Linked DNA regions of Oryctolagus cuniculus. The protein of the gene in region 6 interacts with the protein of the main gene of each other region in a biochemical or structural test. Links are inferred from orthologs where the notes say so. Each region holds a gene or a part of one and is shown on either strand. Other genes may lie near its edges.

What was found.
Region 1: the proteins of ERBB3 (region 6) and RNF41 form a complex in vitro, tested with the Homo sapiens proteins (2 studies listed by BioGRID). The link is inferred for Oryctolagus cuniculus from reciprocal best matches to the Homo sapiens genes ERBB3 and RNF41.
Region 2: the proteins of ERBB3 (region 6) and NRG2 form a complex in vitro, tested with the Homo sapiens proteins (2 studies listed by BioGRID). The link is inferred for Oryctolagus cuniculus from reciprocal best matches to the Homo sapiens genes ERBB3 and NRG2.
Region 3: the proteins of ERBB3 (region 6) and GRB7 form a complex in vitro, tested with the Homo sapiens proteins (2 studies listed by BioGRID and IntAct, with this or other methods). The link is inferred for Oryctolagus cuniculus from reciprocal best matches to the Homo sapiens genes ERBB3 and GRB7.
Region 4: the proteins of ERBB3 (region 6) and ZAP70 form a complex in vitro, tested with the Homo sapiens proteins (2 studies listed by BioGRID and IntAct, with this or other methods). The link is inferred for Oryctolagus cuniculus from reciprocal best matches to the Homo sapiens genes ERBB3 and ZAP70.
Region 5: the proteins of ERBB3 (region 6) and TNS3 form a complex in vitro, tested with the Homo sapiens proteins (2 studies listed by BioGRID and IntAct, with this or other methods). The link is inferred for Oryctolagus cuniculus from reciprocal best matches to the Homo sapiens genes ERBB3 and TNS3.
Region 7: the proteins of ERBB3 (region 6) and TXK form a complex in vitro, tested with the Homo sapiens proteins (2 studies listed by BioGRID and IntAct, with this or other methods). The link is inferred for Oryctolagus cuniculus from reciprocal best matches to the Homo sapiens genes ERBB3 and TXK.

What each region holds. Positions count from the first base shown.
Region 1 is NC_091442.1:59,030,313-59,034,254, forward strand, and holds the start of RNF41 (E3 ubiquitin-protein ligase NRDP1), read right to left. Parts: upstream 2,801-3,942; 5' UTR 2,556-2,800; intron 7-2,555; 5' UTR 1-6. UniProt on the Homo sapiens protein: Acts as E3 ubiquitin-protein ligase and regulates the degradation of target proteins. Polyubiquitinates MYD88. Negatively regulates MYD88-dependent production of pro-inflammatory cytokines.
Region 2 is NC_091437.1:27,684,310-27,688,394, forward strand, and holds the start of NRG2 (pro-neuregulin-2, membrane-bound isoform), read right to left. Parts: upstream 2,801-4,085; 5' UTR 2,264-2,800; coding exon 1,516-2,263; intron 1-1,515. UniProt on the Homo sapiens protein: Direct ligand for ERBB3 and ERBB4 tyrosine kinase receptors. Concomitantly recruits ERBB1 and ERBB2 coreceptors, resulting in ligand-stimulated tyrosine phosphorylation and activation of the ERBB receptors.
Region 3 is NC_091448.1:22,653,676-22,656,292, forward strand, and holds the end of GRB7 (growth factor receptor-bound protein 7), read right to left. Parts: coding exon 2,525-2,617; intron 2,319-2,524; coding exon 2,220-2,318; intron 2,016-2,219; coding exon 1,935-2,015; intron 1,854-1,934; coding exon 1,737-1,853; intron 1,615-1,736; coding exon 1,554-1,614; intron 1,452-1,553; coding exon 1,364-1,451; intron 1,262-1,363; coding exon 1,168-1,261; intron 951-1,167; coding exon 804-950; 3' UTR 501-803; downstream 1-500. UniProt on the Homo sapiens protein: Adapter protein that interacts with the cytoplasmic domain of numerous receptor kinases and modulates down-stream signaling. Promotes activation of down-stream protein kinases, including STAT3, AKT1, MAPK1 and/or MAPK3. Promotes activation of HRAS.
Region 4 is NC_091433.1:110,676,921-110,680,966, reverse strand, and holds the start of ZAP70 (tyrosine-protein kinase ZAP-70), read left to right. Parts: upstream 1-1,246; 5' UTR 1,247-1,378; intron 1,379-1,573; exon of another isoform or gene 1,574-1,697; intron 1,698-4,046. UniProt on the Homo sapiens protein: Tyrosine kinase that plays an essential role in regulation of the adaptive immune response. Regulates motility, adhesion and cytokine expression of mature T-cells, as well as thymocyte development.
Region 5 is NC_091447.1:53,271,958-53,275,895, forward strand, and holds the start of TNS3 (tensin-3), read right to left. Parts: upstream 2,801-3,938; 5' UTR 2,698-2,800; coding exon 2,650-2,697; intron 1,324-2,649; exon of another isoform or gene 1,133-1,323; intron 1-1,132. UniProt on the Homo sapiens protein: May act as a protein phosphatase and/or a lipid phosphatase. Involved in the dissociation of the integrin-tensin-actin complex. EGF activates TNS4 and down-regulates TNS3 which results in capping the tail of ITGB1.
Region 6 is NC_091442.1:58,900,312-58,903,811, reverse strand, and holds part of ERBB3 (receptor tyrosine-protein kinase erbB-3), read right to left. Parts: intron 3,423-3,500; coding exon 3,234-3,422; intron 3,102-3,233; coding exon 3,030-3,101; intron 2,527-3,029; coding exon 2,226-2,526; intron 2,072-2,225; coding exon 1,545-2,071; 3' UTR 1-1,544. UniProt on the Homo sapiens protein: Tyrosine-protein kinase that plays an essential role as cell surface receptor for neuregulins.
Region 7 is NC_091433.1:41,322,264-41,326,485, reverse strand, and holds the start of TXK (tyrosine-protein kinase TXK), read left to right. Parts: upstream 1-1,422; 5' UTR 1,423-1,450; coding exon 1,451-1,553; intron 1,554-4,222. UniProt on the Homo sapiens protein: Non-receptor tyrosine kinase that plays a redundant role with ITK in regulation of the adaptive immune response. Regulates the development, function and differentiation of conventional T-cells and nonconventional NKT-cells.

The DNA.
Region 1 (3,942 bases), about 130 kb from region 6:
AACACTCTATTAATAGGAACAAGGAGGAGAAACTTGAGTCAGGAGAGCTACCTCCACTTGGCAGTGAGACCGGACAGACGAGGAGGTGAAGTCAGGCCGCTGGGGAGGCGATGACTCCAGCAAGGACCACAGGTTTCAGTGCTAAGCATACGTGGCTGCTCTCTAAGGAGAGAGACCACTGTCCAAGGAATCACTCACAGGGTTCAGTAGATTCACACAGAGCTGGTAGGGGACAGGAAAGCACAAAAGAAAGGGAGAGAAGAGGAAATGCTGCAGACAGAAACGATTCTTTTATTCAGCACACACTACAAGTAATATCAGTAATTCCAAATCTATAGCTCCACAATACATATACCCAAATACCTTATGGTATTATGTTTTTATTTCTTTATGTTTTTATGTTCCCCAAATGCTTTCATGCAATTTATTTCATGTAAACACAATGCTGGCCTTATTTTCCATATTAAAAATACTATTTATTGGGGCCAGCGCCATGGCACAGGTTAATACTCTGCCTGTGACACCAGCATCCCATATGAGTGCCGGTTCTAGTCCCGGTTGCTCCTCTTCCAATCCAGCTCTCTGCTATGGCCTGGGAAAGCAGCAGAAGATGACCCAAGTGCTTGGACCCCTGCACCTACGTGAGAGACCTGAAAGAACCACCTGGCTCCTGGCTTCGGATCGGTGCAGCTCCGGGCGTTGAGGCCATTTGGGGAGTGAACTAATGGAAAGAAGACCTTTCTGTCTCTCCCTCTCACTATCTGTAACTCTACCTCTCAAATAAATAAAAAAATCTTTAAAAAATTATTTATTCTCCACAATAAAAATAATACTTCCTAAAGACATGCTCAACAATGTTGGTACAGGAGTAATTTTTTTTTTTTAGATTATTTATTTGAAATGCAGAGTGAAGTGGGGAGGGTAGAGAGATCTTCCATCCACTGGTTCACTCCCCAGATGGGCAAGGCTGGGCCAGCCTGAAGACAGGAGCCCCCAACTCCACCCTGGTTTCCCACATGGCTGGCAGGGACCCAAGTACTTGGACCATCATCCTCTGCTGCTTTCCCAGGTGCACTAGCAGGGAGCTGGATTAGAAGTGGAACATCTGGAACTCTAACCAGCACTGCAATACGGGATGCCAGTGAGTTCAGAACCCAATCCAAGTCTCCTACACAGGAGGGTGTAGTGCGTCTTTCACTTTAACAACACCCCATTTCCCAGCACACTGGCACATGCTCCTGAATCTCAAGATTTGTTTCCAGGAACCAGTGCTGTCGGCTATGCTCTCTCCTCGTGATGGCTTCCACGTTCAGAAGGCAAACAGCTGCTCATGCTGGGAGAGACGACCCTACCTCAGTGCCCCCTTGGTCAGAACAAGAGGAGCTTTTACACCAGAGCAGGGGGTCAGCAGTCAGGAGACTCCTGTATGACCCTAAAGCCACGTGACCCTTCGGTGGTTTTCAGTTTCTTCAACTGTCAGGCAGGGGGAAAGGCACCTGCCTTATCTGCCTCCTTTACTGTCAGGGCTTGGTGGGAGAGAAGAACTGTGAACACCTTCATCACACTGCTACTGAGGGCTGGGAGGGGACATCGGAAACAAATCTGTTCCATCTCTTCAGTTACTGGGAACTGGGGCAGCTCCAAGGTCCAGTGGACAACACAGGGTAATGAGGCTACTGCACCAGCGGCCAGCCCGTCCATCGCCAACCGGGGGAAGACCAGCAGCCAGCAAAGGTATCAGCCTCTAGACCTATTATCAAACTAAAACCACTTCACGCTGACTGCCCATCACACGTCAGTCTCAAGGAATACAGGCCTCGGTCATAGCCACGTTTGCTATTAGCGAAATGAAGCCTGCTTCTTAACGGGGAATGCCTCAGTCCTGCTCCTTGCTCCTGAAGGAGCTCCAGAAGAAGTTCCCTGCTCCTTCTGCCCCCCTCACTCCCCACTTTTCCTGGGTCCTGGATGGCGGAAGGCTTTCCGGTGTGCAAAGCCTACAAGAGGGCCGGGCTGCAAACCACTGGCAAGGATGTGAGGAATGCGAGATTCCTTCATGGAGGGGTGGGAGGGGAAGAGGAGCGGAAAAGCATGAAAGGGAAGAGACAAGGCTGCCAAACACAAGGCACGGGAGAGAAGCCAAGCTATGGCGCTTCGAGGGCGGAGGTTCAGGTTCCGCCGGCCCCGGCGAAGCTCTGGCTGGCCCCGGAATGGTCCCGTCGTCCCCTCGGGGACCACCGCTGCCCATTTAAACAGCAAGTTGCTCCCCCGCCCTTCCGCCTCCTCCAGCCGGCCCGGGCCCCCTCCTGCAAGGTTCCCCAGCACATATCCACGCTGGCCTCTTCCAGGGATCCTTTCCCGACAACCCGACCTCCGGAGCCCCCTTCACACTCCGACTCTTCCCCAGCGCTGCGCCCTTCCTCCATTTCTCATTTTCCCGCCAGTCCCTTCTCCTGAACCCCAATATCTCCAACCCTCGCCCCAATACCCCCGGGACATCGCCCCCTCCCCTCCCACACCCTTTTCTAGGGGGAAGCCCGCGCAGGCGCAGTACGCACCGCCCTGGACGCGGTCTGGACTCGCCGTACCCAAGCCTGGCTGGAGCTGAGGCCGCACAGGCTACCGAACAGCCCTGGTGCCCAGCCCCAGCCTTTCCCCGGAGGGGGAAGGGGAAGGGGAAGGAGGGGGAAGAAGGTTCCGACCACTCGTCGCTGCCTCAGACGGATCCTTTGCCCTGCCCACCGCTGCTACGCAACCCGGCGGAAGCTCGTCACCAAACCCCGCCTCCTTGTTTAACTGAGACGGGCACTGGAGGCCACGCGCGGCCAACGAGGTGGGACGCGGGCTAGCCGGGCTTCCGCTCCAGGCCGGAAGTCTTTGTGATCCCAGCCGGGACTGTATAGCCAGTTTGGAGGGGGAACTCTATGGTCTTCCTGGCGTGAGCGTCGGGGCTGAGGCCGAAGATTCCTACCTTGGGAGGCGACGCTTTGCCGTGGAGGGACGCACGTGACTTGTTCCCTGGAGCGGATGCGGAGGGGTGCCGTCCGGGCCGGCCCCTCTCGCGCTTCCAGAGCCGTGGTCAGCGCCGTGGAGCCTCCCGACCCTATGACTCAGAGTCATGGGAATGGATACTGCCGCGAACAAGGCGGCCGCGGGTGGGGAGCGGGGGCGGGTCCGGCCGCGAAGCTTTGATCTGGAGATGCTCAAGCGGTTGCCCGCCTCTCCGCCAGCCACACTCGTGCCATTTCCACTCTGGGACCCCTTGAAGCACCTAGGGGGAAGAAAACGCCCCCTCTGCCCGGGCTGTCGTTTGATCTCCTTAGGCCTCAGCACTACGAACGAGGGTGTGGGCACGAGGGACGTGAAGGGGAAGCCCAAAGCGCTCTCCGGGAAAGTAGATGAGTTGGGCCAGCCACGGCATTACAGTTACTCCACCTCTTAGGCTAATCTGGCACTCAAGTGGCATTTGCTATGGATATTCGCTAAGTAACTGGCAATGCGCACTTTGTCTTCATGCATTTGGCGTATACACTACAGTACAGGAACTATCTACCTTTTGTTGGCCATCTGGCAGGTCCCAAAGGAAACTAAAGGTTCTGAGCTTTTCCATCCTGGGGAGCATGGTGGGGCGGGCCGAGGAGGACTGACTCCGATCTAGTGAGGCGACTGCAGTTGGAACTAAGGGAGGGACTAATGCAAATGCTGTCTTTGCCCAGGGTTCCCTTTCTTACAAAGGGGGTAAGTCTGCCAGTTTCTGTCTCTGGAATGCCATCCCCCCCCCCAAAAAAAAAGTCCCTGACCAAGGTGGGCAGTGAATTAAAGGTGAGGACCCCAAATCCAGAATAAAGAGGCTTAAAGCGGTGGGAGAGGAGGAGCCAACTGGTACTGCGTTTTATATTTGCTTTCTCATTTGTAAAATGGACTTGCATATGCAAAGATTGCTGG
Region 2 (4,085 bases), on a different chromosome or scaffold from region 6:
GGGATCTCAGATAAAAGACTTACTAGAGTAACAGAAAAAATATAGAAATTTTTAACTGGCCTTAACTGGTCAGCATAAAATATCTCAGAGCATAAAACCAACATTAACAACCAATCGACACTATTCCTGAGAAGGAATGTCAGAACGATAAACTGCTGTTCTCCCCTGTTTCTTCTTTCCTTATGAAGACACTCCCCAGATTCTTCTCATTCAAGTGACCACAGCGCCTGGATGTGCCCCCATAAGGAAACTCCCAAAACTGCCCTCTTGAAGGGGGAGAGGGATTTCCAGAAGTCAAAGGCATTGATCTAGAAATAGGAGGGCGGCAGCAACACTTCCTCTGAGCTTCAATACGAAATTTACTCCCCAGGCCTGCCTGTGTTACCCAGGTTCAGTCAGTAGAGGCACCAAGTTCAATGAGAGTCCAGGATAGGTACCACGCTTCAGTGATCGCGCGGCGGCTGGGAGTCACACCGAACGCAACACAGTGAACCCATACTACGAATAAGCTCAAGCAGGCCGACACCCAACACTCCAGGGTGGGCACAGTTCCGTCTGAAACCTCTTGCTGAGAGGTACTGGATTCGGGGAGCAGAAGAAAAAGCTCCCATCACGGGCGACCTCCGACCCCAGCTGCACAGACCTACAGACTAGGACGTCGTGGGGGTTGTGTTTCTGATCAGTTGCCTTCCTGTGCGGCCCCGACATCATACAGGTAAGAGGCGCAGTGAACGCAGGCGGCCAGGGAGATGTGTCAGAGCTGAACTTAGAGCCGTCGGCAGAACTAAGTTACTCCGTGTCATCGCCATCGCGATCCACAGACCGCGTGAGATCCCCCAGACACTGCACGTAGAACAGGCTGTGCGGCTCACTGAGCAAAGACAGGCGGTCGCGATGGAGGATAAAGCCCGGGCCACAAGGAGGACGGAGAACCGTAGCAGAGAAAGTCCAACTCTGGCTGCGCCAGCGGCGGGGACCCGCGGAGCCGCGAGCCCGGGAGAGGAAGGAGGGGGCGGGGGCGATCCTCCCCCAGGAGAACTTGCAAGCCTAGGCCTCCACCGCCTGGGAACCTGCCCAGATGCTCCGGCAGACCCTGCCGGCCCGGGCCGGCAGGCTCCTGGGAGCAGAGTGGACCAGGCCTCCGAGAGTCGCTCCTGACTCACCGAGCCTCAGGCCAGCCGCCGGCCGGACCGCTCGGTCTTCGCTTCCGCTACTGGGCTATGATGGCAGCTTTCCAGACCCACTTGCAAGACATCAGCCGCAGATCCCTGCTGGTACAGGCCCGCTCCTCCCCTCGCCCCCTGCCCCTGGCCCACGCCGAGCCCGGCCCTTCGTCGCCCCAGTCCCAGCCCCCTCCTCACCCACCCGTGCCAGGCGCTCTGCCTGGGGGCGGCCCCACCCCCCCACGGCCGGCCACCGCCGGGCCCGGGCACCTGCAGCGCTCCCCGCCCCACCCCCATTCCCCACCGCCTCGCCCTTCCCCCGCTCCTCGGGCAGAGGGAGGGGGCGACTCACCGCAGTCGGTGCACAGGATCTTGCCCACCTCCTTCTTGAGGTTCTTGCCGTTGGTGTCGAGGGGGGCGAAGGCCGTCTTAAACACTAGGGGCTGTTCCGTGGGCTCCAGGAAAAAGATGTAGCGCTGGTTCCTTTCCAGCGGCGCGCAGGAGCCCACGCTGATCACCTGCTCGCGCTGCAGCCCCCCGCTCCGGAGCGGCCACTTGTCCAGCACCTTCACCAGCGCCACCCGACCCGAGGCGGGCGGCTCGCGGGTGCTGTTGGAGCTGGAGCCGCCCGCCGGGGCCAGCCCCTGTACCTTGCCCTCCACCACCACGGGTGCCTTGTACGCCTGGTCCTGCACCGACTTGAGGCTGGGCGAGTAGCAGGCGAGCGACACACCGAAGAGCAGCATGGAGAAGCCGGGGGCCGGGTCGCGCCTCATGCCGCCGGCGGCTGCGGCTCGCGAGCGGGCGGCGGCTCGCGGGGCTGCGGGGCTGCGGGGCTGCGGCTGTGGCTGCGGCCGCGGCTCTGGGGGCGCAGCGGGACGGGAGATGCTGCTGCTGCTGCTGCTGCTGCTGCTGCTGCTGCTGCTGCTGCTGCCGCCGCCGCCGGGGCTGCTGCTGCTGCTGCCGCTCTCGCCGCTGCTGCTTCTGTCGCTGCTGCTGCTGTTGCTGCTGCTGCTTCTGCTGCTGCTGTCGCTGTAGCTGCTGCACCGAGCCTTCTCCAGTGGCGGCGGCGGCAGCGCTGAGCAGCAAACCTGCCGCATCTGGCCAGGCCATTTGGGGGGCTCCGCCGCTCAGCCGCCGCCGCCTTGGGAGGGGAATCAGAGCCCGCTGGAAAACCGGAAACAGCGTAACGTTAGCGCCTCGTAGCCCTCCCGCGGCAGCCCGGGGAGGTGGCCCGGCTGGGGCAGGGGGCAGGCGGCAAGCGGGCCGCGATGCGCAGCGCGGCGCAGCGCAGCGCTCCCACCCTGCGCGCCAGGACCTGGAGGAGGATGCGGAGGACGGGACGCCCGCCCACTTGCTCTCTCGCGCCCCCTCTACCCCCAGAGCGAGCGGGGAGCGCGGCTTCTGCAGGGGAAGCTTGGGACTGCACTGCTCTAGTGCCCGCCTTCAGCCCGCAGGGGCGCGGGAGGAATCGTGCCACCCTTTGCTCTTGGGATTTTTCAGCATGACAGCGGGGGTGGTGCGTGAGGAGAGGGCGGTGAAGCGATCTCGGCTTTGCGCCCCATCCCGTGGACGTGGGAGTGGGACACAGGGCGTGCCCCCGCCTTCGACCATGGGTGGCAGGAGCCAAGCAGGTTGCTGAGGCCAGGGTGGCAGGTCAGCCGCCCCCACCCCCACCCCCGCGCCCGGTTCTCCCTTCCCCACGAGGAATCTAGGAGCCGGCCCCAGCGAGCCCATGTGCTCGGCCCTGCCACCGCCCGGCTAGTGCTGGGGAAGGTGGGGGAAGGAGCCCAGCCTTGTGGTTTTGGAAAGGGCTAGGGCTCCAAAGCAGCCTTGTCTCAACACTGAGGACACTTCGCCAGAGGTGGCCGTGGGGACAGTCATAGGCTCCCGAGAGACTCCAGGCTTCCGCCAGTAGTCCAGGCTGCCGCTCTCCAGCCTCATCCTCTACTGGCTTCTTGGGAGCCAGTTGAGAGCCAGGGCCTGCAGGGCCAGAGGCCGCTCCCTGGAAATGGTTTCTTTTTAAAAATCTGAGGCTTCCAAGAGGCAAAGAAGAGTTAGCTCCCCTGGAACCAGCATCTGATTTCAAACTAGACCAAACCCAAAGTGAAAACTGAAAAGGAAAAAAAAAAAAAAAAGAAGAAGTCCGTCATCCATTCTCCAATCAATAAAGGGCCAGAGGGTTTTCAAAACTCAGGTTTTAGCCTTGAAGAATGCCCAGCTGAACAGCTGGGTCTTGGGGAGTTTTCCCACTGACTGGACCTTGCAGGAAACTGGCCCATGGCTGACCAAGGCTAAGAGGCAGTTTAAGCTCAGCATAGCCGAGGCCAAAGCATCATTTCTTTTCTCCCACCCCGCTTCAAATTCCCTGTGGTTGGTAATGATGCCGTTATCTGCTTGGCCACCCAAAGCACTCCAGTTAGTCCTTTAGCCTAATCTCCTACTCTCCCTCAGCCAATCATCACCAAGTCCTTTGAAAAACCTCCAGTTTCTCTACTTCCTCTCCAACTCTGACAAATTCCTGAACTCCAAGTCCTCATTGACTCACCTGGCTTACTGCAGAGCCTCTTCATGGGTCTCATCACCCACCTCCAGTCCTGCCAAGGCTAGAGTGATCTTCCTAAAAGTAAAGTCTAAATATGATTTGTCCATGCTGCTGCTCTTGGGAGTAAAGTTCAAGATCTTCAACAAGGGTCTGCGTGGGCTTCATTGCGTAGCCAGCTCCACGTCCTGAGAACCAGCCCCAGTCCTCGTGATGCTCAGCCCGTGGTGCTGTCTCTTGGCATCTTCTGTACCTGCTGTCTTCAGTGTCCAGGGAGCCTTGCCTCCACCTTGTCCACCTGGGAACCTATTCTTTCCCCACAGCCCAGCTCGGCATGATAGCCCTCTCCACTCCTATGTGCCTATATCCACTCCCACACT
Region 3 (2,617 bases), on a different chromosome or scaffold from region 6:
AGCAGCCAGTGAAGCTGCTGCTTGCCACACCGGCGTCCCAGACCGAAGCACCAGTTGGGGCCCAGCTGCTCCACTTCCGATCCAGCTCCCTGCTGATGTGCCTGCGAAGACGGGGGAAGACGGCCCAAGTGCTTGGGTGCCTGCCACCCATGTGGGAGACCCGGATGGTATTCCTGGTTCCTGATTTCCACTTGGCCCAGCCCTGGCTGTTGTGTCCATGTGGGAAATGAACCAAAGTTTAGAAGACCTCTTTCTATGCCTCCCTCTCTTTGTAGCTCTGCTTTTCAAATAAATAAATAAATCTTAAGCAACAACAACAACTAGCAATTGTTAGGCATCCAGTACATGCTGGGCATTACAGACTTTCAAATGACCAAGGCCTCCCCTGCCTGCCTTCGAGAAACACCCACACTGGCCAGGATGTGGCCGCCATTCACCTGATGCGTTCAGCAAGGGCTCCGCCTTCGGAACGCCAGGGCTTGCCAGACAGAACTCACAGGTGTATCAAAAAATAATCTTTATTGTCACTAGTATAAAACAGAGCAGATCAACTGGCCTCTCAGTCTGTACAAGGTGTGGGGCAAACGACCACCTGGCCTGCCCCGTTCCCCCACAAGGCCCTGCCCAGACCAGTGCCCCAGGGCTTCTGTGAGGGCCGCCACCAAGTGCCTCCCCTCGGGAAGAAAGGTTGACGGTGGCCTGGCGGGGGGGGGGGGGGATTCCCTGCCTGGGGAGGCACCGGCGCAGAGTAGCTCACTGGAGTCGGGGAGCCTCCGAGCACTGATGCCGGGTCCACACGGCGGTCAGAGGGCCACGCGGGTGCAGCAGTGGCGCAGCAGGCACGGGAGGATGCCCCGGTTCAGCTGGTGGAACTCCACGAGCTGCAGCAGGTCAGTGAAGCGCGTGTGGCCATCGTCCATGCTGTAGTAGAGGCAGCCCTCCTCCTCGCTCTGGGGCAGGGGGCACGGGCTCAGGGAGGGCACTGGGCTGGAGGAGGCCCCTCCTAGGCCAGGGCTCGGGTCCCCATTTCTTGTCCAGGGGAAAAGGAGGCACGCCGGGGGCTCGGGGAGGCCCCCCAAGGGAGGCAGAGGAGGAGCCCAGGTGCCAGGATTCCCCTGTCTCCCTGGCAGGCACCGGGGCATCTCGGGGAAGGCGGGGGCCACTCACCGGCAGGATGAGATAGTGCTTGACTTTCTGCAGGTGGCACAAGGAGAGGACAAAGCCCTGAGGGTTCCTCTGGCTCTCGCGGACCAGGAACAGGCTGCCGGAAGAGGGGGCAGAGTTACCCAGGACACCCGGCTGCGCCCTTGACCCAGCCTCTCTCTCAGTCCTGCACCTGCTGCCCGCCCAGCCCCACGCTTACCCGTCCACCAGGCCCTGCTGCCCAATGAGCTGCTGGCTCTCCTCACGGGAAATGCGCCCATGGAACCAGGGCTGAGTGCGGTGGATGGCTGGCGGAGGGCAGGGAGGAAGGCAAAGGGGAAGTCACTCTGGGGAGGGCACAGACAGCCTGCAGCGGCCCCCAGCCCCGGGCACCCCGCACCATCCCCCACCTGCACTGAGGCTGGTGCCGGAGCACGGCGTGGGCAGGCTGAGCCGGTGATTGGTCTTCTTCTGTGGAAGTGGGGGACATGGGGGTCAGGAGTGGGGGGTAGGGCCTCCCCCCTCCCACTCTGCAGAAGCCCATATGGAAGGCAGGGCCCCTGTAGGTACGCAGATGGGGGCAGGGCCCTCACCCGCCAGGCCTGGGCCTCCTCCAGGGCGGCACTCAGAGCTTCCCGAGGGTTCTCGATGACACGTCCGGCGTGGCCAGAGAAGTCCATGGCCACCAGGGTATTATCTGACACGCTCCTCTGGAGGCGGGAAGGGGAGGAGTCAGACAGTGCCCGGCTAGGCCTGGGGGTCCGCCCTCCCAGTGCCCCAGGCACACTCACCAAGGGTGGGGAACCCAGATAGGGCGGGCGCAGGTGGCGAGACTGTGCCTGCTGGTAATTCTTATATAGCTGCACCCCATACTGAGGGTGGGGGCGGGGAGAGAGAGACGGAGAGAGGGCGAGCCTGAGTCAGGAGGTCTTGGGGCTCAGGACACCCCAAGGGGAGGGCTCTTTCTGGCCTTGGACAGGAGCTGCCTGAAGCCAGGGGCTTGTCAGACAGCAGGGATGTGCTGGGGGGGCCAGGACGCCTCGTGCTCGGGACCCCCCCGCGCTCCATAGCCTCACCTTGAAGAGGCGGAAGGCGGCCAGCCAGCAGGTGCGGCTCTGCTCATCCTCACTGCAGAAGATTCGGAGCCCCTTGTGGCCATTGCGAAGCTTGTTGGGCTGCGGAAAGAGGAGCTCACTGGTCCCTCGCCTGCCTTCAGGACAATGTCCGTCCCTGCCTCTCCACAGAGCAGGCCCCAGCACAAGGAGTCTCCAGCAGGGCAGGGTGAAGAGGGGGTGTCTGAGATGGAGCTCGGGGCCCCAGGCAGGAATCCTGGGGCCTGAGTACCTCCTGTCCCCCCATCCTCGGAGGGCAGAGTCTTCACCTTGATACAGAAGCCGAAGTCTGTGGGCATCCCGTAGAGCTTGCGGCCCTGGGTCACCACGTACACGTTGGACTCGTTCACGTCAGCCACGTA
Region 4 (4,046 bases), on a different chromosome or scaffold from region 6:
TTGGCTATTGTGGCCATTTGGGGAGAGAACCAGCGTGTGGGGTCCTGGGGCCCAGCTGCCCACACTCCCTTCCTGCCCGCGTCTGTGTTTATCTCTCTGGGCTTCACTTACTTCATCTGGGAAATGGATTGAGTGGGCTAATGTAAAATGCTGACCACAGTGTCCATCACACAGCAGGTGCGACTATTAATACTGCTGGGGTCAGGCACTGTGGCATACCGGGGTAAAGCCGCCGCAGGCCCAGCTCTGGCCACTGTGGCCATTTGGGGAATGATGAAAGACTCTCTCTCTCTCTCTCTCTCTCTCTCTGCCTCTGCTGCTTTCTAACTCTGCCTTATAAATAAATCTTAAAGAAAAAATGCTGCTGGGGTTGGTGTGATTCGGATGCTGTCACTGGGCTTCTCTTCAGTCTTCTAGAATATTCTGCCACTATTACCCAGATAAAGAGGAGCCAGTGTGGAGACAGGAGGCTTGGTCTGCGTCTCTGGTTTCCACGCCACCTTCGGGGCACAGGAAGGCATCTATTGAGGATAGTTTTGAGGGGGTGAGCACCCTCCTGTGGGCGAAGGGAGGAGAGGTTGAGGAAGAGGCTAGAGCAGGAGGCGGTGGCCAGCGGGGCACAGCTGTGAGGGCAGCGTTGGAACTGGACAGGTGCTGGGGGACGCCCTGTCTCTGTGTGTGACTCCTCTGGGAGCCCAGAGCGCCATGGAGCCCCTTGGGGTGCACCCAGGGCCCAGGTGTGTGGTCTCCCCTGAGCTCAGCCACCCCCTGCAGCCTGGGAGCCCGCCGAGGGCACGGATGGGCAGCCAGCGGCAGGAGGAACCTGAGCCTTTAGGGCTGCACCGACTTCGGGGGTTTGCCCCCGCCCACTCTAACCTGCCCATGGAGTGAAGCAGTCATTCCTCTGTGTGCTTCCGCCAGGCTTGATGGCTCTCGGCCAGGGAAAGCGAGTACTTCCCAGCTGCCAGTGAGCCTGGGGGGTCCCCAGCCTCCCGCGCCCAGGCTCACCCCTTTCTCCTTCCCAGGCTTGGGGTGCGGGGGAGGTGCTGCGATCACAGAGGTCACCCCCAAAGGAGCCCTGCCTGCCGCTGGCCTCGCCACTCCCCACCCCCACTCCAGACCCCTGGTGCCAGGGCTGGCACGCGATGGCCCCGGAAGTGCCCGCCGCCCGCCCCGGAGCGTGCGGCCTGCGATTTTCCTTGCACACAGCACTTTGTGACTCTGACGCAGACTTCAAACGGCCCCCTTTCCTGTGTTGACAACAAGGAAATAGGTGGCATTTCAGAGAAGCCTGCTGGCAGGAGCGCCCCAGACACCAGGCCTTCCGGCCCGCAGCCCTGCCCTGCTCTGGCCTCGGCGCCACTGCTCCGGCACCCAGGTGAGTGGCAGGCCTCGGGCCTGCTGCCCAGGCCTGGCCAGTATCAGGGCCACCCCAGGACCTCGGCCTCGGGGGTGCCTGGCCTACAGGAGTGGGGGAGTGGAACTGCCCCCAGGTGAAAACCCCTGCAGGGCGTGGCCTCCTCGTGTGTGTGTGTGTGTGTGTGTGTGTGTGAGTGTGTGTGTGTGTGTGTGTGTAGGCGGGGGCGCCCATGGGCTCTCGGGCCCTGACTCGTCACCTAACAGCAGCTCTGCTTGTTTGGGGACCAGAGACCCCGCAGGCGGCCCGTTTTCCTCTGCATCCACCTGCCCAGCCCCAGGTAAGTCTGGCCACGTGGAGCCGCAGCTGGCCCCCATCTCTGGCTGGCCTGTGTCAGGTGGAGGAGGACACAGCGTTAGCTGGGAGTGGGGAGCTCCTGGGGAGGCCCCGGCAGGCAGGGCCGTGGGAGCTGCGCGCTGCGGTGTCTGCCTGGAGCGGGAAGCAGACACGGCTGTGGCCACTCTTAGGGGAGCTGCTCTGCTCCCAAGGGTCAGCGGGCCACAGGGCTGCCTGCCCGGCCCCTGGCCTCCTGCTGGGCCCTGTCAGGGCTGCCTCCGTGGCTCCAGGAAGCAGAAGGAGCTTCTGAGGGTGCAGATGTGAGCTGTGGCTCCCTGGCCCTGAGAACGTGAGACTAGCTCACCAGGGCTGCGGACTCGAACAACGCATGGTTTCCACGCAGGGGCTCCGGGTCGGCCTGAGCCGCTCGTAGGTGAGCTCAGGTTAAAGGCCCGGGGCTGGGGGGGGACTGGAGAACTATGGGAATGGATCTCTCAAGCTCTGAGCAACTGCTGTGTGTGCCTGGCAAGAGGCTTGGCCTCTCTGAGCCTCTGTCTGTGCATCCGTTAGGCGTAGATGAAACTATGGGTACCTCGGAGGCGCTTGGTCCCTGACTATTGGGAAACGTGGCTTAGCAAGGGACAGGGGCTTGTGTGGTCAGCAGCTGAGGATGAGCTTCATTTGTCTTGTCTGGGCCAGCACAGCAGGTGACTGATAAAGCTTTGCTGAGACATTAGGGTCAAGTGCTCCCAGGACAGAGGATCCTTAGATGCCAGGGCTGCTCCTTCCTTCCTTTCCTGCCCTGTCCTCCCTGGCAGGGACCCCCGGCAGGCAGCCTGGAAGGGGAGGAAGCGCACCTGGAGCCAGCAGCTGGGCATCCTCGGGAGAATCGCTTGCCCTCTCTGTGCTCAGCTTCTCTGTCTACAAATCCTAGTGGTGAGTGATAGTATCCAGGGAGCCGGGCACACAGGTGCCGTCTAAGCATCTTGCTAGACCCCTCGTCCTGCCTGGCTCTGGGTCGGCTCGGGCTCTGCACGCTACAGCTGCTGCAGATGCCTGGTGGGGTAGCAGCCAGCCCCGCCATGTGGGTCCCCGCTGCCCTGCATTGAGGATTGGGGTTAAGTCGATCACTCTCACATGGGCCCCACTGCTGCCTCTTTGTCCCGGAGCCTAAGGTTCAGAGAGGGAAAGCTCCTTGCTGAGGTCACACAGCTCACAAAACGCAAGCAGTGGAGGTTGAGGTGGGAGGGACTGGCCTCACTGTGTGTGGAGTGGGGGGACATTGTTTAGTCCATCAACAGACACAGAGAACAGAGTTGGCTGGATTCAGGGACCTGCCCCTGTCTCCCCAAGAGTCGAAGGTTGCTGGGCCAGCTTGGGGGGTCGATGGAGACGTGGGGTCCCCTGGGCCCAGTTAAGAGCTGAGGGTCCTGCTCTTCTGGTAGATGTTCCCTAGGGTGGCTGGTGCCAGCTGCTGTGTCAGAGAGACCTGGGTTTAGGTCCTGACTGCCACTTGCAAGGTCACTGACCATGACCTTGAGACCCCTCGGAGCCTCAGCTTCTTTAGCTGAGGGAGGGGCGTAAGCGTCCTCATTTAATGGAGTTGTAGGGGGGCTTAGATGCAATGGACAGTGTCCCTGAAGGGCTGTGGGAGCTGTTGTTGCTGTACCCATTTGACAGACATGCACCCAGAGGAGTCAGGGGCTACGGGAGGAAGCCAGGTGGCCATAGGCTATGCCTTTGGGAGCTCAGCCGGGCCAGAGATGGAGGAGCAAATAGACAGTGATCGTCCAAGGCCATCAAGGCAGTGATGTCGGAGGGTGGAGACCCTGAGAGCCCAGAGCGCCACCAGACCCAACCTGGGGAGGGAGGTGCAGGAATCATGGATGGTACTAGGGGTGGGGGTGGGGTGACAACCTGGGGGCCAGAAGCACATGGCCAGGAGAAAGGCATGGGGGCAGGGCTGGGCGGTGGGCCCTGCCTGGCCGAGGCTCTCCTGGCCTGGTCCCCTCCTCTCTCTGTATTGGTTGGAGGAGAAGGCCTCCTCTCCCTCCCCTCCCCTCCCCTCCCCTGTCCCTACCTCTCCCCTTTCACTAGGGCTACTCCCAGGTGTCTCTGCCCATCACAGCATAGAGGAGGGCATTTCAGAAAGTCGATGGGAAAGTGGACTTCAAAGATCAGTTTATGTGGGTGTCAGGGCTGGCCTTTGGCACAGTGGGTTTACCTGCCACCTGTGATGCCAGCACCGCCTATCAGAGCGCTGGCTTAAGTCCTGGCTGCTCTACTTCCAATCCAGCTCCCTACTAATGCACCTGGAAAGGCAGTGGAAGATGGCCCAAGTGCTTGGGCCAAG
Region 5 (3,938 bases), on a different chromosome or scaffold from region 6:
ACTCCCCCTTTCCCCGATGCTGGCACAGGCACACAGCTCCTCACTCCCCCACTACGGCAGACATAACTAGCCCGGCACGTCCACCCCTCCAGCTGGCCTCCGCGAGCCACTCCCAGGAGCCGGGACTGGCCAAGGACTGACGCCAGCATGCCCGAGCTTTGGGACTGCCTGGGTCTCCCCACTGTCATTCAAGCTGCCTGGAAGGCGGGCAACTTGTAGCTCCCTGTCATCCCCGGTTCTAGTCCCCACCTCAGTCCTGCAGTGGCCTTGTCAATAACCACATCCGCTCGGGCTTTTGTGCAGACTGTCCCACTAGGGAAAGTGTCCTGAAGCAGGCAGAAGCCGTCACGTCAGATCTGCCACCTGCAGTCCAATCGCGGGGGCCCTGGGCAAGTCGCCTCTCTCAACCCCTCCCGCCTCTTAGGAGAGCTCCTGACCAGAGACAAACGCCAGTCCATAAGAAGCACTTGAGCACTGCTGCTGTTTCATTTTGTATTTTTTTAGAATGTATTTGAAAGGCAGAATGACAAAGAGAGGGAGAGACAGAGCGAGATCTTCCACCCACGGATTCACTTCCCAAATGCCCACAACAGCCAGGGCTGGGCCCGGCCAAAGCCAGAACTCGGAGACGCCTCCTGGTCTCCCACACAGGTAGCAGGGGCCATGCACCAGGACCCCTCCTGACGCCTTCCCAGACTCGTTAGCAGGGACCTGGATCAGAAGCAGAGCAGCCAGGGCTCACCGGCACGCCGACACGGATGCCAGCGTTGCAGGCGGCGGCTCAACCCGCTGTGCCACAATGCCCGCCCCAGGCACAGTTTTATAAGGAGCTCAGCCTCAGCTCCGTCCCAGACCAATTAAATCAGATTACTGGGGGCGGAGCCAGACCCCTGGCGAGGGCCCAAAGCTCCCCCAGGTGACTCCAATTAGCCGCCAAGCCCGTGCCCACCGTTCCGTGGGGCTCCACTTCAAAGGGCTCCCAGAACCTGGAACTACACTACAGGCTTATTTTGTGCAAAAAATTACTTCAAAATCCATGCATACTTCAAAAAGTTCATGAAAAAATGTGTATTATGAAAAAAATCAAAACTACACACAGATTTCAAAACAGTCTGGACCAAATTCAACTTACTTTTCAACCTCACTTTTCCGTGAGCTTCCGCAAGTAGCCCTCTCACTCTTGTGTTTTCGGCAGAAACCAGACTCTCTGAGAGCAGACGCTGTGTGCCCAATGTCACGGGGGTCCCGGTGTTAGCAGGGCGCATCCGTGTCCCTGTCGGCAGCAGCGTGTGGCCCAAGTGGGGACGGCGAGCTCTGGGCAGCCCACGCAGCAGGGATGTGGGGCTCGGGCTGGTCTCCCCCCCAGCCCCGCGTTCACAGGGGCAGCCATTCACGGCCCTGTCCAGCAGCACCCCAGCTGGGCCTCGCCCTGCACCCCACTGCAGCCTCCTGGAGGCAGGACACCGGCCCGGGCCCCTTTGTCCTCGGTGCCTGGCAGCCAGCGCGCCGTGGCCCCTCAATGAACGTCTGTGGACCGAATGAATCGGCCACAGTGTGCGGGCCAAGGAGGAACGCGCTGGCCTTTTCCTCCTTACAAATACCTTTATTGCCCCCGGCGAGAAAGAGGCACTGTTCCCCGCAGCTCCCCTGCCCGCTGGTGCAGCGAGAAGCCCCTCGGAGGGGACCGGCAGGGAGGGAACGGGGCCGGCGCAAGCACATCTGGCCACACCGCCCTGTCTCCACCTGGTCCGGCCTCTCCAGCAGCCAGCAGGCCCCGCTCAGGAATCTAAATTGCATGTAATTGTGAGCAGGGAGACGCAGGAAGAGGAGCCCGCAGGCTGGGGGACCCCCTGAGGGGCACAGCAATTAGTGCAGCTTCTCACAGGGCCTCCGCTGGTGAGGAAGAAGCTGCCCGAGGGAGCGAGCTGCACGCAGACAAACGCAAAACCGCAGACGCCGCTGCAGGCCCCGCGCTGAAGTGGAGGCGGCAGTGCCGGCTGCGCTGTCCCGGGTGGCCCTGGGCAGCAGGACAGCCTGCGGGAGCGACCCCGAGAGGCGGGGCCTGATCAGACACCTCACCGACGGGGAGCAAACCGGGGCGGAAGCGGCGACCCCGGCCCGGGCCCGCAGAGCCCTCCCGGCCCCCGCCCGCCCCGCGCTGCGCTGAGCGCGGGCGCGCAGGGACAGCTCTGGTGACCTGCGCTCTCGGGAACCGCGCAAAAGTTTCGGGACGAACGCAGCAAACGCCCTGCCGTGGGAAGCGGCTACCGCTGAACCCGGGGCGAGTCCCCAGCCCCGTGGGCTCGGCCAGGAGCTGTCCCGGGGACCCCGGGCGCCACGGCCCCAGCCCACCTGCGCGCGCCGCGACGCCGCTCGTTACCTTCGAGGCAGCGAGTCCGCGCCGAGGCCCGCGTCCCACCTCCACGCCAGCGGAGTAAGCGCTTCCGAGAGACGCTGGAGGGGGAGGAGTGGAGCCCGGAGCCCCGCTCCGACCACAGCCCCACCGGCCCTGCGCGCATACGGACGCGCGCTCCCGGGGACACACGCGTGGGCGAGCAGGCGCGCGCGCACCCACAGCACGCCGCGGACACGAGCGAGCGCGCCCGGTGCGGTCCACGTGCGGCCCGGCCCCGCGCGCGCCGCACTCACCTGGCTCCGGCGCGTCCCGGCCCCGCGCGTCAGGGCGCGCAGCCTCATGGCCGCCCCGGCGCCCGCGGGCCTTCAGGAGCGGCGGTCCGCGCAGGGGAGGTGGCCGGCGCCGCGCGTGCGGAAAGCCCGGGGAAAGGTGGGCGGCCCGGGAGGCTGGAGGGCTCGTGGCGGCGGGGCCCGGCCGCGCGCGCCCCGCCACGGGCAGTCGGACGCCGGGAACAAAAGCCCGCGCGCGGCGCCCAGCATCTGACACGAATTAGCCCCGTCCCCGCCCCGCCCGCAGCGCCGCGGAGCCCCGGGGACGCCGCCCGCCGGGCTGGGCAGCGCCTGCAGCCGCTTGGGCCCGCAACGAGCGCCCGGCCCCGCTAGGGTTTCAGGCCTCCGCGCGCGCGGGCCGGCGGGCTCCCGGGCTTGCGCGAGTTTTCAGTCTGGGATAGGACCCCGCCAGCCTCCCGGGAACTGCCTCACCAGCAGGGCGTGGGGAGCAGGACCACAGGCTGCCCTGGAACCAGCCGGCCTCGCTGCGGGACACGAGGACCGAGGGCGACCAAAAGCAAACCCGCAGGAGGGCCGCCTGTCCCGGGGGCCTGCCCGTATGGTGCACTTATTTATGCCTGAGAGAGAGAGATCTCGCACCCACTGATTCACTCCCCAAACCACCAACAGCCAGGACTGAGGCAGACGGACACCGAACTGTGTCCCACGTGGGGGTCAGGGCCCCAGGTGCGTGGGTCATGGCCTGCTGCCCTCTGGGGGGTGCACAGGAGCAGGAGCCAGAACTTGACCCACGCACCTGGAGGTGGGGTGTAGGTGTCCCACAGCTGCTGAGCTGAACACCCACCCCACGCACACAGCATTTTAGAAGAAATGCGAGAGCTGCCGTGGAGGAGGTACGCAGCTGCATGGGGAGCACCCAGGAGTCTGGGCAGTGGGAGGGTCCCGTAGGAAAGCCACGGCCAGACCAGCCCCTTCCCAGGGCCGGTGGGGTTGCAGGCCGCGGTCCCCATGGCCGCCCTCCCTGGAGCAGCACACCCAGGCTTCCTACAGGAGACTCCACGGAGAGCCGGTGTTGTGGCACCGCGGGTTAAGCCACCACCCACAACTCACACATCCCGTACCCCAGAGACCCCGGCCGCTCTGCTTCCAGCTCAGCTCCCTGCTGAGGCACCCGGGAAGGCAGCAGAGGACGGCCCATGCGGGACACCAGGATGGAGCTCCTGGCCCAGCCCTGGCCGCTGTGGCCACTTGGAGAGTGAACCAGCGGATGGAAGAGCTCTGTCTCTCTCTCT
Region 6 (3,500 bases):
CCAGTTCCCCTCCCAAGGGGATGGAGGTCTAAAGCAGGGTCCTGTCTCTCCCACCTGGAAGCGTCTCACCACTGGAGGAGAACAGCTCCTACAGGTGGGCCTGGGGACCTTTGTGAGTCTGCCCTTAGGAGTGATCACGAGAGTTACGGTTTATGCAAAAACATCCAGTTATTTTTCCTTCCTACCCCCTCACCCCCACCACTTCCTGAGATGAGAAGTCTGGGTGTAGAGGAGGGTTAAACTTGATTCAGTGCAAAGAAAAAAAAAACACACACACACACAAGTAAAATGCACCTTACAAGGGCTCTCTGACTTATCTGTTTTCCATGACAGCTTACAGTAAGAACACGTGCATTCTGTTGGGAAGATTTTGAAACCTGGACCTGTTGCTTAATTTACCCAGTCTTTAAGGCTCAGTCCCCCTGATCTGCTGTCTTTCCACAGCTTGTTACCTGTGGTTAACTGCAGTCCAAAACAATTACATGGAAAATCAACAATTGATAAGTCTGAGTAGCATGATGAAATCTTAGCACCATCCTGCTCTTCCTCTGTCCAGTGTAGTCGTCCCTCACTGCCCTTAGTCCCTCGGTAGCACTCTCGCTTATCAGATCTCCTGTTGTGGTATCCAAAAGTGGCTGTGTTCTAGGAACCCTTACTTGTTTAATGGTGATGCAGGCAATTCACATCGACCAAAGAGAAGTGCTTCCGTTAAGTGAAAAGGTGAACGTCTTCGTAAGTAAAGGAGCCAAAAGTGTACGCAGAAGTCGCCGGATCTCCAGTGCAGACGATTCCTTTATCCATGGAATTCTGTGCTACTTTTCTTGTTGCACCACGGAATGCACAAGTTATGGCCGTAGTGCATGGAGTTCAGGAGGAAGGGCATTAAGTACAGCATTTGGTGCTATCTGTGGTTTCACTGGGTGTCTTGGAACATTATCCCCTGAGGATGGGGGAGGGGGGACTACTTAGGTGTAAAACAGGGTCATCTCTCTGTCACACAATTGTAAGGAGTATAAAGGATTAAGGGAGATAATGTAGGTAAAGTTTCGCTTGCTGCCTGGCCCGCAGTGAAGAGCCGAGAGTAATAGTCTGTTCCTAACTGCTCTTTACAGAACTTTAAGCTCTGCAACCTTTGCAGGGGGTTAAAAGTACCCAGTTTTTGCTTTCTTCTGCCAGATCTGCCCCTGTGTTCTTAGGACACTCTGAAACAGGCACATATCCGGGCCTCATACTAACAGGTGGGGCCTGAGCTACAGGGATGTGGGGAGTAATCCTTCATGTCTCCAGGGAGTCCTGGGAAAGCACACAAAGTAGGAAAACCTTCTCCTTCCTGGGGCTGGGAAGGAGAACAAAGTGCACAGTTGGCTACAAACCATAAGAAGTTTGTGTCAAAGGGATTCAAAGCCTCCAAAGGTTGAATGGAATTGTCTAGGACTAGAGAAATGGGGCTGACACCTGTGGAGGGGGGAGTAGGGAGATGAGGGGTACCCTCTAGAGGCACTAGCTGCCATCAGACGCTCCCCGAGTGTCTCAAGGAGTCGAGGCTATGTTCTCTGGGCGTTAGCCTTGGGGAAAAGCCTGCTATGCCAGTAATCAGGGTTGTCAAAGGCGGAGTCGGTGGCTTCTAAACTGCGGAGGGTTTTGAGGCGGGCGTAGCGGACACTAGGGGCATGCGGACCAGGCCCCTGGAAAGCTCGCATCTCTTCATACCCTTGCTCAGCTGCTGGGCAGGCCCCCATGGCTGTGTAATCCCCTCCCGGGCCACCTGCACCGCGTCGCCGATTCATATACTCATAGTCCTCATCTGGTGTCGTGCCAGCAGTGGATATGACGGGCACAGGGTTGAGAGGACAACTCTGCGTGCTGCCCAGGGAGGCACTGAGGTCTGACCCCACGTCCATGTACTCATAGCCCAGCTCCTCAAGGGAGCCGGGCCGAGGGGGATGAGATGGGCTGGGCCTTCTCCGACGGTTCATGTATTCATACTCCTCATCTTCATCTTCCTCTTCAGTACCCAGGACAGAGCTGAGACCCACTGAGGAAAGAGTACCTTCTCGGGAAGAAGGAGTACCTAGGAGAAGAGCAGAGAGGATAAGTAGGTGGAGAACTTCATGGTAATGGGCAGTAGGTAGGGGAAGGGAAGGGAAAGTTAGAAAAAATTAATAGGAAGGGATAGGATCAGAGAAGACGAGAATTCAGAGAAAGCTGCAGGAGGAGTCAGGCACCTTTGAGGTGTGTATCTGGCATGACATAACCGTTGACATCCTCTTCTTCCAATCCTGGCGGGGCAAGAGGGGTGACGGGCGTAAGCAGGCTATGGCGCTGGGAATGGTAGGCACTATCTCCCCTTGGCCGTGGGCTGCGGCTGCGGCTGCGGCTCCTGCACACCGACACCTTCTCCGGGAGCTCAGCCTCAGAGCCTGTCACGTGACCTTCTGACGATTCGGAGGTCAGGCGGCCCCGTGGCACTGGGTGCAGAGAGACCGGACGAGGGCATCGTTCACTGCCCCCACAAACTGCAGACTCCTACGAAGGAAGGTAAAGAGAGGATAACAGATTTAGAGACAGGAAAGGCTTTATTTAGAAGATTGGGTTGGGGGCCGGTGCTGTGACACAGCAGGTTAAAGCCCTGGCCTGCAGTGCCAGCATCCCTTATGGTGCCAGTTCAAGTCCTGGCTGCTCCACTTCCGATCCAGCTCCCTACTGATGAACCTGGGAAAGCAGTGCAAGATGGCCCAAATGCTTGGACCCCTGCACCCACATGGGAGACCCGGATGAAGCTCCTGGCTCCTGGCTTTGCATCAGCTCAGCTCAGCTCCAGCCATTGCAGCCATTTGGGGAGTGAACCAGTCAGTGTATGGAAGACCCCTCTCTCTATTGCTCTCTCACTCTACCTTTCTCTGTAACTCTTTCAAATAAAAATAAGGCTTAAAAAAAGAAGAAGATTGGGTTGTTTGTTGCCTGCCTTTTCAGTTTCTCATGCTTCCTGCACTACCCCTCAGCCACCTCGTGTCAGCAGCAGAGCTCACCTGGCAGGCCTCTCCAAGAACACTCTGGTTCATGGGCATGTATCCAGATGATGGACTTAACAGGCTCTGGCTCTGGGAGGAAAGAAGTAAGAAAAAGGTTCAGATGAAGGAAGAAATCCTACTCTTACCATGGGGGCCGTGAGTAGTTGGTCTGGGGGTTTGTGCGGGCCTGGTGTGGAGTCTTGGGTAGTTACAGTGTCTTACCCCCCGTGGTCGAGTAAGAGTTCCAACTGGTAGGCTGAGAGCAGAGCCCAGTGTGGTTGCCAGGGTGTCCTCTTCTGCCTCCAAGTCTAGGTCTAGGTCAAGTTCTGGCTCCAGCTCTACTTCCTCCAGTTCCTTGTTTGTCAGAGCAGAGGGCTCTGCCCCAGGAGGTACTCCAGGCCCACTCTCCCTCTGTAGGAGCAGGTAACTGTTAAGGTGGATCCGGGTTCCAGCCAATTCTTTTCTCCACATCCTTGCAATCTAGTCCCT
Region 7 (4,222 bases), on a different chromosome or scaffold from region 6:
GGAAACGGAGCGACCGGGCTCCGAGCTGCCTCCCGGATGTGTTTCGGGAGCCCTGGGCGGACCTGGGCACCAGGATCGGGGAGACTGTGACAGCCTCGAGATAGCCCCTGCCTTCCAGCATGCTGGTGTGTGCTGGTGTGGGTGTCCCACCCTCACCACCTGCGACCGAGACGCCAGCTGAGGTGGAGCTGCAGGGAAGATGAACCTGCCCCGGTCACGGCCAGACGGCCAGGTGGCCGAGACCACTGCTGGCCCCACCTGTTGCTCCTGGCATTCATGGTGGGGTGGAGAGGCGTGGAAAACACGGAGCCTTTCCTCGGGGCCGGGGGGGGGGGTGTTCCATGCCCTCGGGGGCTGCTTGGGTGAACCCCAGGCCTGCTCAGAGCAGCACCTCGTCTCTGACCCTGCAGAAGCCTCTCCATCTGGAGTCCGGGTGCCAGGCAGTCTGTCTGCTGAAGGTAGCGTCCATTCTTTCCTGTGCCCTCTGCAGTGGAAACGGTGTTTATCCTGAGTCGGCCATGTTCCTCCTCATCCACCCGTCTGACTTCCTGTCACGGCGACGTGGACGCTTTTTCACTGGTGTGGAGCTCCTTCAAGGGGTTGGTCCCACAGTCCTGCTGTCCCTGGCGGGCCCTTCTCCCTCCGTGCCCCTCCCATCCCTCTATCCTGTCCCTGCCTTTGCTCCTTGAGGAGCTGCGGGTATTGGCGTGAGGGAGGAGAAGGTCAAGGCCATACCCCGAGAAGGTCAAGGCCTTACCCCAACGGTCACACCTGTGAGGGGGACCCCCCCCCCAAAGAGTCAACACCTGGCCACATTGGGAAATGTTTTCCTCAAACATCGTCAGATGTTTTGCGCTGAAACCTAACGTTTTCTATATGAAAGCACAGCTAAGGCAAAAGGTAAGGGAAAGGCCAGAGGTGTCCCCGCCGGAGGTGCAGGCAGAGCGGCGGCGGCGGCGTCCTCACTGTGGTTTCCCCGGTGAGATTTTGCTTACGGTTTCCACTGTGATGAAGCGAAGCGCCTCAGCGTGGTCTGCAGCGTGGCTGTGGATGTCAGCCCTGTGTGGAGTAGAAATGAGGGCCCTGGCAGCCCCTACCCCGTGCGAGCACAGAACATTCTGGGCTGCATGTTCCCAAAGCTGCATGTTTCCCCCAGGAACCGTGGCCTCGGGCCCATCCCTCTTCCTATCAGTTCCTTTATGTGAGAGGGCGTTTGAGTTGATTTTTAAGACCTCTTTGACCACAGTTTTGGGGTTCCTTGGTGATGTTTGCTGGGGCCACTCAGGTCTGGGCCCGAGGAGCTGAGAGAAGCCCCTTCACAGAAGTGGGTGCAGACGAGTGCGCTTTCGATGTAGGCCATCAGGTTGTCATTCACACGCCCCGTCTGAGGTTTTGAGAACAGGAAAATAGGTGGGGCTAACTGTGCCTGTGAGAAACGTCCTGGTGAGCTATGATTTCGGTTCAAAGCCGTGCCTCTGTGAGTGCAGCACAGCCGAAGAACCGAAGACGGTTTTGTTTACCCCCGCGAGCTGCAGCCATGATTCTGTCCACCTGTGAGTACCGTGGGCCTCGTCCCCTCTCTCTCTCCCTCTCTCTCTCGGCTTGTTCTGGGCGTGTGACTTTACTCTCAAACACCGCAAGTTTTTCCTAAGGCGTAGAGCTTGTGAAATTGTGAAGATGATTTCCACAGATGTTGTGACAGCGTTTTGTTTCTTATTTAAATAACCACTGTGGTGATTTAATTGTGGTCACTGCCCAGCATGGAGAGCACGGGTGGAAAACAAACACCATGTCCTTCCATCTATGCCACGGTGCTGCAAGAGCTGGGGAGAATGGAGAGCAAAGACGAGTTAGATTTGCTGTGCAAACAGCTTTGAAGTGCATGCATTGTTTTTTCGTAATGTGCATTTCCCACAAGCTTTTTGAAGACCCCTGTGTGCACTGATTTCAAAAAAATTTCAAAACCAATGTCTTGAATTCCCTTTTCCACAAACTGGCGGTTTCTCATGTGTGCGTAGAAATGCATCGGTGTGACGTGTTGTTAAAATACCCAGTGTAATCAACTTGGGACTAAAGGCCAGGAGACCCAGTTCTGGTTCGGGACTTGTCGCCAGCTTGGCGGTCACCCTTGGTAGCTGCTTTGTGTCAGGTCTCTTATCTGTAAAATGAGGACTCCCTTTCAGCCCACCTCCCAAAAATGTCTCATAAGCAATGGATACAAATGACAGGTGCTTCATGAACTTGACTTTGGTTGCTTTCCAAGATTATTCAGGGCACTCATGTAATTTTTGAAAATATTTGTTAATTTTTGAAAATATTTGTTAGAGTTAGCTCTATGATCCTAAGGCCTGGGAGGGCCTTATTATTTATAAGTAGTTTAAAGATAAGAGAAATGCTAGTTTTGATTTGAATTATGGATGCCTATAGGACCAAATTTAACAAAGCTCAGTCTGATCAGAGCAATCAAAGGCCAGCTAACGGTCAAGGTTTTGCGTTTCTGATTTTTCCGTGGCATCGGGAAAGCCCAATTGTAGTGTTTGAGTGTCGGCTGTTCAAGCCCAGTTACTGCACAGGGCCAACACTTGTCGGTATAATTTATAAAACAGCAAACCAGGCTATTTCAGTTGTGCTGACCTGAATATAACAGTCATCATCCACACAGATGAAAACGAGGCTGCCCCTTAGACATGCAGGCCAAGCAGATTGGAGCAGAAAAACGAAAAAGCAGCAACCTGTGTGTCCCCACCTCCCCAGGGAGCTGAGCAGAGGCGTAGCAACAGTTGTTAAATATAGAAAGCTGCACGGGCATGTGTCTTGGGTTTTCCCTGAGGTCGGTGCTGGAGAGAAGGCTGTACATTACAAGAGGAAGGGTTCGGTCATATGCGACATAAATAATTGTGAGGGTGGAGAGGTGGAGACGAGGGTTAGCTTGCCTGAGGGTAAAATCAGAGCCTGTTGGTGGGATATTTTGGGGATCACTGATGGCCTTGCTGAGGCTTCCCTGTCCCACCAGCTTCTGATTTGATTTGATGGTGAGACTTGCCTGCTTTTGTTTTTGTTTTCCTGCCCTCCACTAAAGCTAGATAGAGCCCTGTTCTCTCTGGGTGAAAACAACCAGGGTTTATTGTTGACAAGGGGCCAGCTGAACGATGCCTGGAGGCGTGTTGGCCAGAGTCGTTTGTGAAGTGAGTTTGCTGTGGTAAGAGCTCGCTGAGACTTGGCCCTGCGGGCTGCTCCGAGGTTAATCATCCAAGCGAGGATAGAGGATCGTGGGGAACAGGGGAGATTCTGAGTATCAGGGCACTGCTCCAGTCAGGTTCAATTTGTGAAAATGAGCAGCACCTGTACTTCCTTCAGCCCACAGCTGCCCTGAGAACAGAACAGCCCTGGGGTTAACGAGGACCAGGCCACGCTGAGAAGTGAAGATTCTGCCTCTCAGCCTCCTCCCCCTCCTTCCCCCTCTCCCTCCCCCTCCCTCTTTCCCTCCCTCTTTCCCTTTCTCCTCCTCTCCTTCTCTCCCTCCCCCTCCTCCCTTATATAAATATATTGTTCTATGTTCTGTGCCTTTCTTCCCCATGAAAGAAAAGATAATCATGTGGGAGGTGGTTCAGTCTCTGTCCTGGAGCGGCCCGGGGCCACTGATGAAATGCGAGGTTCTGGGCCGTCTCTGTAATTTGATCTGAGCGGGTGAGGATAGTACAGTGCCTCTCCTTGAGTGAAGTGGACCGAGCCCCTCCCTTCGCAAGGACGGACCTTGGCCAGGGGGATGGATGCCCGCGGTGGGGGCTGGGTCTCTAAAGGCAGGGCACTGGCCGGCCTTCTGTGAGCACGCACGGCCTGTGGACAGTCCCCGGGCACCAGGAACCAAGGCAGCAGGGCCGGCCAGCAGCCTAATGAGTACTTGGAGTGGAGTCCCCAGCTCCAGTTCAGCCTGCTTGAGGACAACCTCACGAGAGACCGTGAGCTAGAGGCATGAGGCTAAGCGGCTCTCGGGCTCCTGACCCATGGGAGCTGGGGGATGAAAAATTAAGTCACTAAGTCTGGGAACAGCTTCTTCCCAACCGCACATAACTGCAGCTACGCTTTTTTGTTTTTAAAGATTTATTGATTTGTTCATTTGAAAGGCAGACTTAAAGGGGCCGGCGCGGTGGTGTAGTGGGTAAAGCTGCTGCCCTTGATGCCAGCATCCCATATGGGCGCCGGTTCTAGTCCCGGCTGCTCC